Styela clava: one gene and its partner. The protein of the gene in region 1 interacts with the protein of each later gene in a biochemical or structural test. Links are inferred from orthologs where the notes say so. Each region holds a gene or a part of one and is shown on either strand. Other genes may lie near its edges.

Region 1 (7,768 bases):
ATGAAACCACATTTTGTGTACCACGTGTTAATTACATTAACATATTCATAATAATAAAATAACACTTTAGCATATCAATAAAGGTGTTGAAGAAAAATCTGTTATTAACATTACTATAGATATCATGACATTTTAAATAAATTAACTGCCGCCCTCTCATCGTTATTCGGAATAGAAATACGAGTCTGCAGAAGTATTTACTCAAACCCAACTAATTCAGCCAACGATATACATGCAATGACATAACCAGGCCAAAATGAAGATACCAGGTTAGAGTTAGCCCATGATTTTATTCGATTTTTTCTTATTTTAGTTCTATTACGAGTTCGGGGACTGTCTGTGTTAGCCAGTGAATATACCCCCTGTCCATAAGATTCAGTCCCCTTACACATCTTGATGTAAAGTAAGCGAACAAAATTAGTTACATCTATATTGCTATACACACTCCTGGAGCGCCAAAATGGAAATATAGAATGTGTGAATTAACAAACCTCTTCATATGTATAGTCTCTATCTGTTCCTGCCCATGTTGATTCTCCTGGAGTTACATGAATTTCTTCTTGTTCTGAAATAAACAAATGAAACCCATGAAAATGTGTTAAATTATGCATAGAACAAATTTCGACAAAAAATTGACAAAACAAATACCATTTTGTTCCTCAACTTGGTCTGCGAAAGCAACTTCTTTGCCCTTTTTCTTTTTCTTCTTATGAGTTAAATCGAGTTCTTCTTCTTCTCCGTCTTCTTTCTATGGAACAAAACGTATTATCCAATAAGAATTGAGAACAGGAATAATACTTAGAACGGTGGACTATAAAAAGTATTCAGATATAAACTTTGTAGATAACTGATAAAAATGACATTCTATATAAATAACATTAAATTTAACTACCATACTGATGAGATAAAAACAACCAACACATAAAGTAACTCACAATACAATTTCAATAAAGAAAATATTAAAATAATTTACTTTTTCTTGAGCTGTGCCCTCATCCCCAGCATCACCTGCAAAATATGAATAAACAAGATATTTTAGATTTATTTATGCAGAGAGATGATAAAAATATTAAAAAAAACTTTTTCCTATAGGCACCCAAAGTTTTCACCGTAAGTTTCTACAGGTCACATAATGAAATGTATTGTTTTAATTCTGTTGGACCAAAAGTATTACATTGATGCAACATAATTTATTCATTTTTATTTACACCATTTTTATTTCACCTTTTCATCCTCGGAATAAGAGCAAACCACGAAAACAGTTTTATCGTCAATTAAAACACAATTTAAAGCACAAAATTAGTACCACTGCAAAAATTATATCCTACATTTTTAGGTCAAACAAAGCCAACAAAAATATTTTAGGCGAAAGGAATTTGTGCATCACTGTTTACACTATGACAAAAACTTGGTTATCACTTATCGATCTCGATCGGTAAGTATGTTGATAGGTATTTGTCTGTTAGACACTTTCGTATGTTACGCAATATCTCACGAAAGCGAAGTTGAATCTGCTCCAAATTTTGCATGTGCATACATCATATCTAGAAGCCTATTGATTTTGGATGAATTATGTCGTATAATTAGAGTTATTAATTAATTACTGATAGGACACGCAGTGTCTCTATTAAGTCAGAGCAAAGGAATCGAAACCGCAGATCGATAAGTCGGCGGTCTCCGATCGCAATCTAGTTGATCCTTTTACAACTTTGCTTTGCACAAGCTTGTGTTTGGGGCACTGTAACGTCATAGACATAGATAATTATTGGACTAGGCCTTGCAATGCAAAGGGTCGCAAGTAACAGATAAAACTGAATTAAAAAAACTTGTTTCACGGGCAGCACACTATTCAAAATTAGCACTTCTCCACAGGCCGCACTATTTTTGTGGGCCGCAGTTCGCACACCCCTGCACTAAATAACCCCACAATACCTGTTTCGTTTTTATCTTTGTCACCTTCACCATCTTCGTCATCCAGGACAAACTTCTTTTTCTTCTTCTTTTTTTTCAGATTTGTGAGTGATAATTCATCTTCAACTATAAAAAGAACATTTAAAATAATTTCTACCTATATTCCATCTCAAGAATTTTTCCTGCCAAAAAAATTCAAAGAGCAATCATAGTAAAAATGACTCAAAACTTGAGTCAAAAATGGAGCTGGACAGCAATTTTCAAATTTTATCAGATATCACATATTCCCGCCACGCTAATATTCTGTGGCTTATTATCTTATTTTTGAGAAAGTAACTGAGTGAAAATATTAAAAGATTATTTATCTTGTCACCGGATCGTATCATCATGTAATCACACATGGGGAAAATTTGCTAGAAATAGTAATTGTATTAACAAAGGTAGTCTTTTAACAGTTTTTATCATACTCTTAGTGGTAATACCTTCTGGAGCCGGAGTTTCTCCATTTTCTTGTTTTAGTACTTCGGTCGACTCTGTATTACCAATGAGTTCATCTAAATTTGCAGTCTTCTTTTTCTTCTTCTTCTTTGTTAATTCAAGATTCTGTGATTCAATAGTCAAAAAAAAAGTTCGAAGTTACACTCAACTAGTATACAGGGCTTTTTGGTTAGAAGGATGAAATATTACTATTTATCCTTAAAGAGGAAAGTAATCACGGATGTGGTGGCGAGCATATTCCAGTTCCTTATGACTGTATGCTTTGAGTGATGCCCCACACTGCATAGCTGATTAATATGAAATATGGGAAATTTATTTTAAGATCGGTACTCGGTATCCACATACCGTAGGTACAACTGTACAAAGCAAATTTCAGAACACAATGCACAGAATATAGAACATAACTCTGTAACTTCATGTTGCACCTGACAAATCTGAAATGCCAAAACTTACCATATCGTCATTGTCCTCTGCCGCGGCCATTGCTGATTTATTAATCAATTCGTGTATTTATGAAAAAAACTAATATAAATAAGGAACTTGTTAGCTGAACAAAAGAACTGAGAGCATACGGTCCAAACAGCTCCACTGCAATTTCTGCGTTAAAACGTGAGCAAGACCTCGTCAACGAATGACGATTTCGCAATTTTTCATAACAGAACAGATGGTGTTCGGTGTTGCGTGAAGGGTGGATCTCATTAAAATTTCTTAAAATTGCATCATTTTTACATTGAATCAGTCGTACATTCAATTACTTCATGATCAATCAATTTTTGACAAACTTTTTACTTGATATTTGTTGTCGAAATATTGCCAATAATGACATCCATAATACGGTGCTCACTCAGCCGTTAAAAAAGAAATCATTGCATCAGCCATATAGAAAAGGGAACGCAGTTGGCGTAGTGATACCAGAGCCATTATATAACGGCTTTGGTGATAGTGACCACGGCACTTGCCACGCTGCCCTTTGCGATTTTCTCAAAATTATGGTGACTATGGATGTTTCTCCGAGCGTCGATTCCCTTGTTTATTTTGTACCAATGAACAATCAGCAATAAGTCAACAATGGAACTTTGTGCAGTCGCTCGTACACTTTATTTCGGCCTCACTTTCATTATTAAATTTAGAATATTAAATTGTCGACTCGTACATATACATTTTATCTCTATTTTTTATCCATATTTCATCGCCAATGCTTTATCTGACTGATTTTTATATACAGCATGGATCAGGAACCTCGGTGACTGAAACGGCGCGGATTTGACAAGCCAACCTTTCATTCCAGGGGCATAGTAATAGTTTAATTTAAACGTTTTCCATACCATTGTGGGTAGATTACGGGCCTAAAAATTAGCTGTAAATACTTTTAAAAAATATCCTCTATGACTATAAGTCTTTGCTTCAAATAATTGAAATCGTTCAACTCATTAGAAAACTTGCACTTTGTTTCCGGCACTTTGATAATTCAACGACATTCGGGTGTTAAATTAACGCATGGTTCATACTGTCATATCCTAACCATGACGCAAATATTTTTCTCTATATCTGAACTAGTCAAGTGAGACGCGAATCAGTGGTGAATCGGATGCCTCCGTTAAAAACATTTAGTAGTTTCAAATAGAAAAACTATTTATGACTGTCATACTGCAAAACCGTAAACCACATTCAAGTCTTTCGGCGGGACGGCGGAAAACATGCTAAAACCGGGACGTATGGTAAGCCTAGAAATTAGTCCCGAAAAATCTGCGACAGAATAGGCTAAAACTGACGTGTTATGACCTATGGAAATTTATTCGGTCAATCACTTTTACATCGTACATTTTAGTTTACAAATATATCTACTGCTGTACAAAGTTAAATTAACAGTAACTGTCTCATATTCCAATGTCAGAGCAGATTATGGAGGAGGATAATGCGTAATTTAATTGACTCGACATGAAATGAATGCAATAAAATTTCTCTCCCAGTTTTTCGATATCTTTCTGTTATTAGTATAACGAAGTTGTACCCATGTCTGTCAGAAATAATACAAACAAAAAAAGCAAAATTGGCATTTCTGTACTGGTATGTATATATACCCCAGCATCGTCCTAAAAAAAGGTTAATGTAAATGATGAAAACAAAATGTATAAAACTGATCACAGAATCGGGAGAGCAAACAAAACTTAATAGTGAGTGGTACGTGTTCGCTCACACAAAAGTCCAAGAAAAACTGCTTTAAACACTCCAAAAAGAGGAAAAACTTCAGATGTAATAATAATATAGTAAGTTTATTTCGACTCCATAATAAGCATAACAATACATTTGACAGATAAAAACAAATAAATAAAAACTGATTATGAAATCAGGGGAGCAAACGAAACCTTAGATAAGGTTTATAACGTACAAAATATAAGATGGGAGGTTTTGCCAAGAGGAAGTGGTACGTGTTTACTCACCTAAAATGATTAAGTTATTTCACACACGCTGACATGCACACACACTCAACCACTGAGAAGTTATTTTAAGTCAGAATAAAACGCGATAAATTTAGGGTAGACTATAGGGCAGTAAACAAAAAAAATAAAAATAAATACTAGAGAAAGAAAAAAAAAATTATTTGCCACTACATATGGATAATTTTGTAATGGTTGCCATTGCCAAATTGATCGATCTTCTAATCGTTAATTAAAATATAAAAGGAAGATTCTATTGAAAACATATTGCCAAGCTGATTATAGTTGGAGTCAAATGCCAAGTTGCCCAATCAAAGTTACCAGAATTGGGTGCATGAAGAGGTGGGCGAGACCATTTCATTCCCCAAGTTAGAGCCTATTATTGCCAAATTATAGTCCAGATTGTAATAAGTAATTAAAGTTACCGGTAACAGTAAAATTACTATAATTAAGTAAAGTAGGATATGGAAATAAATTGGTTACAAAGGGTGTAAGTGAGGTTTTTCATTTTTGGGTATTGATTTCAGACAAGGATATAGGAATAAGATTGTTATTTCACAGGATATCAGAGTCTTTGTTTGATTTTTTTCTTATGTGTTTTACTTCATTTAATCACTTTGAAGAAACCTGAAAAACAAAAAATAAAACTGCGAGTAGATGTTTCAATGATTTGGTGAAGGGGAACAAGCTGAACTATTTATTACAGGCAAAAAATAAGTGTTTAATTAAATGGGATGTATTGTCATTATATAGCGATGGATAGATGATCTATGATGACATTCTGCCTGGGACAGAGAAAAATTTATCACACCATGCAAAAAACACACAAAATTTTACTATCTATACCTTGGCCAACATGTCAACTCAAACACCAATACCCTGCCTTAACATAAAATGCATGCATACATAAATGATATAAAAACCACATCCAATTAAAATGACCCACCGCAAATTAAAATCTGAAGGGGAGAATCCAACATAGCTCTACTACTCGCCTTGTTGCAATGATTAGTAACCTTGCAGGAACTATATTATACATCTACAACCCTTACACCACCACTCAAACATAAGACCATGCATGTATGATAAGGACATCACAGCTAGAAAAAGGTAAAAACACGAGCGTGAAGTGATAGAATGTGTGCAGTTATTTAAAGATAATATTATCCAGGTATGACAGCTACCTATATATTTAAAAAAAATATACTCATGCATGTCACAATACCATTTTTTGATGCTGGACTAGGTCTGGCCAAGTCATGGCAAGATATAACCATATTATTATAGCTGTTCAACATTTTCATTAAAACAATAATGTGCAAGGGTGGAGTGGAGTGTCCCAAGTTTTTGTCATCGAATACCGCCATTAGTAATTTTAATATTTGCAAACTAAATGAGACTTGACTTGTTTTTGAAAAGATTTTTTGGACTTTAACGTCTTCAAATTTAGGGGAAGAGAATTCCAAAGTTTGGGTCCAGTAAAAGACAAGGAATGCTGACTCACAGATTTACTCATGAAAGGTACGAATAAATCAGAACTACTTCTTCGGTTGGAGGTATTTTTGACAAGTATGTCGTTAAAGCAATTGGGCAGCGCATTATTAAGGAAATTGTAATCTAGGGATAATATTTCAAATTTCATCATATCTTCAACCTTAAATATATTTAGTGATTTGAAGTAAGGGTCTACACTTTCACGTTTTCTTTTACCAAAAACTATTCTTAAAAAATTATTACAAATACTCTGCAGTTTTGAGACAAGTGTTTTATTACCATGAAGCCAGACTGAACAACAATATCGAATATGGCTAAGTAGTAATGATTGAAACATTGCTAGTAGAGCTGATTGATCAACACACTTGGATACTTTGGCAGAAACTGCTAGGTTTCTTTTAGTTTTACGAATAACATGCATTATTTGTGATTTCCATGACAGATTTTCATCAAAGATAACTCCTAGAAATTTTATTTCTTTCCCTCTTTCAATTTCATTGCCATTGAGCAGTAGTTTTTTTGAACAACTCACACTTTTATGCTTGCTTGGATGGAATAATACAAATTTAGTTTTGTTAGCATTAAGAGATAATTTATTAACTAACATCCAGCTATGAATGTCGGTTAGTTCTTGGTTTGCAACTGTGAATAGATCTTCAAGGTTTTTCCCATGAAGAATCAAATCAGTGTCATCAGCAAACATGATCGACTCAGAGGATTTCAGACACCTGGACATGTCATTAATGTAAGCTAGAAAAAATAATGGGCCAAGTAAAGATCCTTGTGGAACTCCGTGCTTCATGACACAAATATTTGTAGACAATGAGTTGTCATATTGCACAATTTGCTTCCTGTCTTGAAGGTCCTGATCCAATTGAATGGGACGCCTCTAATTCCATAGTGATAGAGCTTAGTTTTGAAGATTTTAATGAATAATCCACTAGATAGTGAGTGGTTGAGTATATATGCCTTGATATCAATGATATCTTCTGGAACATATTACTGCAATATTTTGAATGGAGTACAATCGATTCCAAAACTTGAGTTGGACTTTGGCAGTTCGCATAATTATGATGCAGTTGGCTATTGATTGCAATGATGTAGTTGACCTCAATAACATAGATGGGAATACCTGCTTTCCAAGATATGAGAGGTGTTTTTTTGTCATAGCTAGCTGGTTGAGCCATATTGTCAAGCAATCTTTGTGTCACTTGGGTAAAGTACTAAATTTATTTGCAATTTGTGTACTACCGCAGTCGAGTTCAACAGATGGACAGAAATTGCTTTTATTTTCACCAATTAGTTCATTAATTGTTTTTCACACTGCCTCGATTTGATTTCTTTTTTGGAGTAGTCGAGCTTGAAGATTCCTGCATTCATTATATATTGTGATTTGTGTCATCTATCTTTTTATTATTAATTAGTTT
Region 2 (7,641 bases), on another chromosome or scaffold:
TCTAAATGGTCAAATTTATAGAGCAAAATGGGCATTGCTAGGACACATCCTGTGGCCATAATTGGTAATGATAACCCTTAAAAAACAGTACTAAGGTACTGAAATCCCAACAAGAAAAACAACACATCAGAGAAATGAATCAAGGCTCGTTTTTTGTCCAATTAGAGAAAGAAAAGTTAACACAACTTACCTCCATTTTAACTTTGAAATTGCCACCCGATTCTTTTATAGTTTTTTCAATCTCATTCAAGCAATCTTGCAATGCATTCAAACCTACTTGTCGATCCAAAGATTGGGTTGTCAGCACATAGACAGGTGGAGCAATCAAATTGATCTGGAATATAAAATTCTTTCTTTGAAAAATGTTTCTGCAATCTAACTATTATATACATAAATACAGAACCTTATTTCAAAACTAATATTTAACTATGTTAGATAGTGCAAGTCATCAATATCGAAACGAGAATATCGGTCAGAGACCGAAGACTTATCGATCGAAAGTTAGGGGATCCCCCAAAACAGCGCTCTTACTCCATAGTGACACCTTGTGTCCCATCACTAATTAATTAATAACTCGCTAATTATACGACATAATTCATCCAAAATCAATAGGCTTATGGTACGACATATAATGAATGCACATGCAAAATCTTGAGCAGATTCAATCTCGATTTCGTGAGATATTGCGTGCATCTAACAGACAAATACCTATCAACATACTTACCGATTAAAATCGAAAGAGTTAAGAGGGACAATCGAAAACATTTAGAAGGAAACATGGGAAGAACAGAGCCCTTTATAATATCTTTACGTAAGCCAAGTGAAAACTATGTTACTCAAGTTCGGCGGAATCATTACGCAGGCCGTATTTGGCCCACAGTTAAGGAACCACTGTATTAGATCATTTCTCAATTTTCTTAAGAACAGTGGTTCCTTGTTAGGACTTAAGCGCCGTGCTCAGAGTAGATATGAATGATATATCACACAAAAATACATACTTTGATTTTATGTTCTTCAGTAGAACAATCAATTCCTTTCAAAAGAGCATTTTTCACTGCATCTACTCCTTCATATGTATAGCAAGATACTTCAACATCTGTTAGAAAAAAAAAAATTCAAAGATTGTTCAGTGACCAATACGGAGAGGGAATTGAGATAAAACTTGGAATATGTAACTGCCAGGAAGGTCATCAATAACCAGATATCAAAATATACCTGATCGAATTTTCATTGCTTGCGGAGTCAACCTTCTCCTAATATTTTTCATCAAAACTGATTTCTCTTCTTCTGATAATTGGAGTTCATCAAGAACTTGTGGTTCACTATAAAATTGATGGTATTTTTTATTTTTTTTGGAAAGTCTTCAACAAAAGCAGATTGAGAGGTGTAAAAGGAACAGATGACATATTACAACAGTCTATATGTAGATTTATTTTTGCATAATATATGACAATATACTTGAGACTTAAATGCCAAGGAATATCGATATCAAAGAATTTTGTTAAAACTAATGAGATGGCTGCTTTTTTTTATCAAATCTATTGCAAATTTGCGAAATCATTACTTAAGTCTATTTTTTCAGAAAAAAAATTGTTTTGTTTCATCTTTTTGTGACAAAAAGTAGAATATCAAACCATTCTAATATGGACAATCGTGGTGGCCTTGAAGAGGGAGTATTGGAAATTTCATGAGCAAGGTACAAGCTCTATAAGATTCAGATTGATAATCCGAACTTTTCGTGGCACAAATGCAAAATTTCACAGAAATCAATTACACATAGAGAGGTACATAGGTACAATTATGCAAAAAGATTGGCATTTACTCTATAGCTCTCTTAAATAGATCATATGAAGCAGGATATTTTTCAGTTGGTCTCTTATATTTTGTATCCAACGCCCAGGCTGTTCGGTCAAATAAATCTTCAAAATCTTCATCTGTCTGAAAACCTAGAAGTTCAGCAGTATGACGAAGAATGCTGTAAACCTGTATTAAAAAATTTTTATTTTTTTGCTTTCATTACATGTTTCAAAATTTACTAAAAAAGTTTGATAAGTTGAGCACTAGCTCTGGTCAAAATGTTGTTTCACATATAGTTTCAACTTACAAGCATATGAAATAAAGTTGATGCCTTATTTCCCAAAAGACATCGATAAAATTCAGAAATCCACCAGATCATGGAATATATAATGATGATTCAAAATATATAATGAAGACCGCAATATGAATACTTTCTTATACCTAGCATGACCAAACATAAATTCTAAACTAGATGAAAATACTAGACATCTAGTATATCAACAAATATCGCTGTATACCTCTTAATTAACATGCCGTAAGAGTAGTAAGTAAATCCTAGTGAGCGTTAAATTATTGAATAACAATATTCCTGCTACAGAATTAACACTGAAACACTACTTACACATTTTGCTTTTGAATACTTATTTTCACATTTTTTTGCTTCTTCTTGTGAAACTCTTCTTTTTGATAAATCAATGTAACCTGAAAAAGTAGCAAATTATTATAAAATAATCACAATATATCAAAAGATAAAAAGGCAACAATAGCATTGCAATAATGCTAATCCAGCAATTTTTGTTAAATACTATGACAAATCGTGATCTTCAAAAATATAACTTTTCTATCTATAAGACACAAAAGTTGATAATCAAAATGTCAGTACTATAAGACGATAAACAACAAAAAGAACACATTTTCGCCTATTTCGTTTTGAATCGGATATTGAAATTTGCAAATACATAAATTTCATTGAATCTTATTTATTAACAATCGCACGAAACTCCCTACCTTTTTCTTTATCTACTCTTATAACAACGACACATTCATCACGACCGACACGAATCAACTTATTGATAGATCGAATACGACGTCTCGACAATTCACTAAGCAATATCATTCCTTCAATGTTATTGTATTCAAGCAATTTAACGTAAGCTCCCATCTCTGCGATGGATCGAACATTCACCATGACAACATCTTCAACCTCCGGAAACTTATCCTTATAATATCGACACGAGATCGGCATTTTGAGTTAATTTGCTAACAACTATATAAAAATATACAATTCAAATAAAAACAATTAAAAACATAAAACTTGAATAAAATTCTCTTATATAGATTAACCAATAGTCAAGCATATGATACACTTTTTCATATTTATCCCAGGGACTCAAATCATATGGCAAACTGTGGCCTTTTGTCTGTTCAACAGACTAGAGCTAAGTCAGTGGTTATGTGACGCAACCTGGAAAAAACAACAAATATGTCTACAGTAATTCTTTTGCATATAGACATACAAATGGAATCTATGAACCGAACAATATAAACATATCTTCACATTTGAAACAATTCTTAATTAAAGAGACGTGACACTTCTTTTCGAACAATCGATACATAAACAGTTTGTACAATCAAAAACTATACATCGATAAAATTTTCTGAATGAAACTTTTTCAACCAAATTCATTTCAATAAATATTTAAAAAACAAAAATTATAATATCACAGAATAAGAAGCTGACAAACTATTCTTTTTTGAATGATTTCTTTTCCGTAAATATCCGAGGACTATCCGGGTCAATTACTGCTTCATCCCAAGGTCCATAAATATTATTTTTATGAATTTGAAGAGACATCAACAATAGAGGACAGATGAAATTAACAAAAACAATTAGAAGTAGAAATAAGAGACTTATATACAAATGAATAAAAAGTAGTAACAAAAACGTTGCTATACTCAATAAAACAGTAAAGGGATCCATAAACCACGGAGTTTCACGCCTTAATGTTCTTTGTAACATGGGCCAAAATCCAAAAAGAAATAACGCTAAAATAACAATAGCGAATACATGCTCCGAAGAATCCAATCGAGACGCAAGACATACTGACGAAAACAATGACATATTTAACGATACAGCTCTAGAAATTGGCGCAGCATCAGACCCATAGTCATGAAACAGTAAATGTCCTAAAATCATTAGAACACTCATTGCATATATCGTATCAGTACTAATAGTGTGCGTCAACGTTTTTAATATCGGAGATAAAAAATCAGTTAAACACAATACAACAACTGCTGTTTTAGCATTACTAAATAACGCTTTCCATCTCTCACCCTGGCTCGTTGTTAAATATAAATACACGCAGAAGCCTATTACTGAAACAGGCATCAGCCATTTTAACATAGTATATGGAGTATATAGGCCTTCATCGAGTAACCACCAGCTAACGATTAAACAGCTGACTGTACAAAGTTGTTGAGTAATGACTTCAATTTGACGAACGAGATCCCAATATTCATATTTTCTGATGTAGATGTTCTTTCGCATTTCCGTGAGGAAAGACTCATCCACATAATTGTCTGGAACATTTTGAACTTCGTACAATACTTTTCTCCATTTTTTGCGATTAGTTGTCATTCTTGAACACGCTTATATCAACAGCCAAAATCAATATTACTCTATGAATAGGTTAAAACTGAAATTTATAATAACAATGGCTCAATACCGGTACTGTAATAATAAGCACATACAAGACAATCTATGAACAAATTTATCTGAGGAACCTGTTCTTTTATCTGTTTATAGCCCAGTGGCGGGCCATTACAAACAAAATATCGTATCGTACGGTCTGACGGTACCGGTACCAGTAGGTATGGATTAGTTAGCCGGTACGGTAGGTACCGGTATTTGTTCTACAGTTTCAGATACCGGTACCGTACATGGTGGACGATAAGATAAGTTTATTTCAACTCCATACTCAGCATAAACGGCGATAAAACGGTTGATTAAAACAAATAGAACTCGTTTAGTCATACAGCGGCACAGACTAACCACAAAGTTGAGCGAATTTGCTCTATGATGGTTCACCATGATGGGCGATGGCGCAAACACCAACACGAAACACCAAAAACTCTACAGTCCACACATGTTAGGGGTGAATGATGCTCGAGATCCGGATCCGGCGATCGCTTCTTATTTACACCGTAAGCGACACCCAAATCTTTTGACAAAAAAATCCGTCAACTTTTTTGGGTCTGGCGGTTACCGCAAAGAAACACAATTGTCATCGCATTACAAACCCAATCGTCATAATTATGCGCGAGGGGATTGCCAGACTTCTCACCCTCGCAAGTGGTTAAGGCTTCGCGCCATTCAAATACGCTCAAATCAATTACCTGATGAACTCTTCCTATTCCCGATTTGGGTTATGTTAACGCTGACTCGTCAAATTTCTTCTTCCTCTGGATTTCATCCTTTTTTTCTGTTTGGCACCCCATCACTGGAAAGGATAGGATTTACATATTTATCCTGGGGAAGAGGAGAGCCGATAAGACGGCTCAATCATATGGCGGACCACGGCCTCTCGTCCGGTTACCAATCCATGTCGAGTATGGAACTTGTTAGCTAGTTTATTTTTGGAAGCATAGACTTAAATGCTCTTTTGCAAATTTGTGTACCTACGACAAAAAAATGATAATTAGTAGTAAACAATTTATTTGACCATTTACTGAATATTTGCGCCTACAGATTATAGAATAAACTAAAAATGTCGTTTCGTGGTGCAGGGGAGTGCAATAAACCAGTCGTATCATCGAGCAGCAACACCTTTAAAAAAGTCTAATCTAAGTTGGGAAATAAAAATGGATTTTCATGCGACCTGACATTTCCACTCGTTGTACTATAAGAAAACAACTCCGAGCACGACATGCTGGTAACCATACTGCGGCGAGATGCTGCGTTCCCCTCTTGCTGTCGAAATGCCGTCTGAAATTTGAGTGTCCCCAAGAAGTTGTATGATGAGAACGTTTGAGCAAAGATCGAGAGATGTGCTCAAATAAATTGTTAATCGACATATCACATGTAAAAATTGGATTTTGAATTCGACAGCGATAATGAAGTGTTATTTGTGATCAGCTATTTACGGCAGTACGGTTACATTTTGAAACCTGTAGATCTCAATCAAATATTTTCCGTGTAGTTCGCGCAACTGTTGGTTGCTTGCAGTATTCCACTAACTACGCCTATGTATCTAGATCTTGCAAGTACTGTACGGCTATGTCTGTTTACCTATATTCAGGGTTGGACTAAACATTGATCAAAATAAGGTCACCACGAGAAAGGATGCACCACAGAAGTTTTCACGAACTGGCTATCTCAGTGTTTAATGTAATTCGAGTTGGTAAGACGATTCAGACCTCAATATTGTCTCGGTTTAATAACTTGATTATTTTCTCTTTTTCAAGTACCAGCTTACACCTCTCTATAAATGTTTGTAGGCAAGAGAATTATTTTCAAAAAATACCATGTAGATTAATCATAACTTAGCTTTAATTAGTACCGTGGTAGTGAATACTGAAACATATTCAGAAAACATGGAACACTAGTTTTCATTATTATCATTTTATATAAATAGGGCCCAAAGTATTAAGTGCCTGGGGCTCCTAAGCGGCATGATCCGGCCCTGCTTATATTAACCAGTTGTTTTGGTTTCACTCGCTTCAATAAGACCAGTCACCTCCTGCACGTGTTAACAGCAGCATCGAATATTTAGCGAAATGGTCCAAAGTCGCACTTTGTGTTCAATATCAGTACTCTGATAACAAAAAATTCCTGTTGAATCTAAATTAGATATTGGAACTTTGGACGTCGCTGCACAAAATTCGGGAACGGTCCCACGCGGCGCCCCTTCATCGGGAAAACCTTGCGTTTATTTTGTTATCGTAGTTTTGTTGTGATTATATCACTAGTAGACCGCGAGCCGAGGCCCTGAAAAACGCCTAGAAAGTGAGTTTCGTAGCGCACATCAGGTAACTACCTGAAAATGATTTTAAAATGTTCCCTAAAAATTTAGTAACAAATATTGCCTTGTTCCCACTTCCAAAAGTTGCACGTTTTACGGAAAAGACGCTTTTACTACAAGAAATATGCGCTACGATCTGTCCTATATTCTCTACATTTTCGGCACTGAACAATGACTTCTGCATGACGTAACAATTGAATTAAACCAGCTGTTAGCGAGCGGATGAATATTAGTTATTTCTGCTCGACCTTGCGCTGAGTTGGGCAGGCTTTCCATAGCCCTGTTTAGTTATTATTAGTTAAGTTATGCTAAGACGTTGTTGAAAAATGTATAAGTAAATTATTAAACACTTGTAGATCCTTACCACGGATATGGGCCGCGAGACGAAACCATGAAAACGCCCAGAAAATGAGTTTCGTAGCGCACATCTGGTAACTAAATAAATTCTTCAGTTTTGTGTGAAAACGAACATAATGAACGCATTACAGCTTGTTCCACAATCCTGGTGCGAAATTGAATATAAGAGGTTCCCGGAAATTCAATAACCATAAGTTTACAACGCATACATAAGAACTATACAATTCGAGAGCCCTACAGCACACTAACACAAATGTATTCCTGTAATGTTTTGCCTGACCAAAATCGGACTTCCTCAGTCAATCATAATTTATTAGGTAGATTACGAAAAATATGGCATACATGTAACCAACAACAAAAAATACTTTAATTGTGTGACAGGAGTCGGGAGTGACCTCGAAAGCAGCGACACCAACAACGCTGATTCACATTTGAGAATAAATTTTATGTAATAACCACAAGCAGT

The links. The genes of interacting proteins can lie anywhere in the genome.
Region 2: the proteins of eukaryotic translation initiation factor 2 subunit 2-like (region 1) and eukaryotic translation initiation factor 2 subunit 1-like form a complex in vitro, tested with the Homo sapiens proteins (2 studies listed by BioGRID and IntAct). The link is inferred for Styela clava from reciprocal best matches to the Homo sapiens genes EIF2S2 and EIF2S1.

What each region holds. Positions count from the first base shown.
Region 1 is NC_135262.1:17,202,245-17,210,012, forward strand, and holds the start of eukaryotic translation initiation factor 2 subunit 2-like, read right to left. Parts: upstream 3,045-7,768; 5' UTR 2,893-3,044; coding exon 2,863-2,892; intron 2,515-2,862; coding exon 2,394-2,514; intron 2,038-2,393; coding exon 1,933-2,037; intron 1,009-1,932; coding exon 974-1,008; intron 749-973; coding exon 649-748; intron 566-648; coding exon 492-565; intron 1-491.
Region 2 is NC_135250.1:6,449,038-6,456,678, reverse strand, and holds the start of eukaryotic translation initiation factor 2 subunit 1-like, read right to left. Parts: upstream 3,091-7,641; 5' UTR 3,044-3,090; coding exon 2,806-3,043; intron 2,500-2,805; coding exon 2,420-2,499; intron 1,984-2,419; coding exon 1,823-1,983; intron 1,323-1,822; coding exon 1,216-1,322; intron 1,097-1,215; coding exon 999-1,096; intron 335-998; coding exon 191-334; intron 1-190. Other genes in the region: phosphatidylinositol N-acetylglucosaminyltransferase subunit C-like, read right to left, coding at 3,542-4,435. UniProt on the Homo sapiens protein: Member of the eIF2 complex that functions in the early steps of protein synthesis by forming a ternary complex with GTP and initiator tRNA. This complex binds to a 40S ribosomal subunit, followed by mRNA binding to form a 43S pre-initiation complex (43S PIC).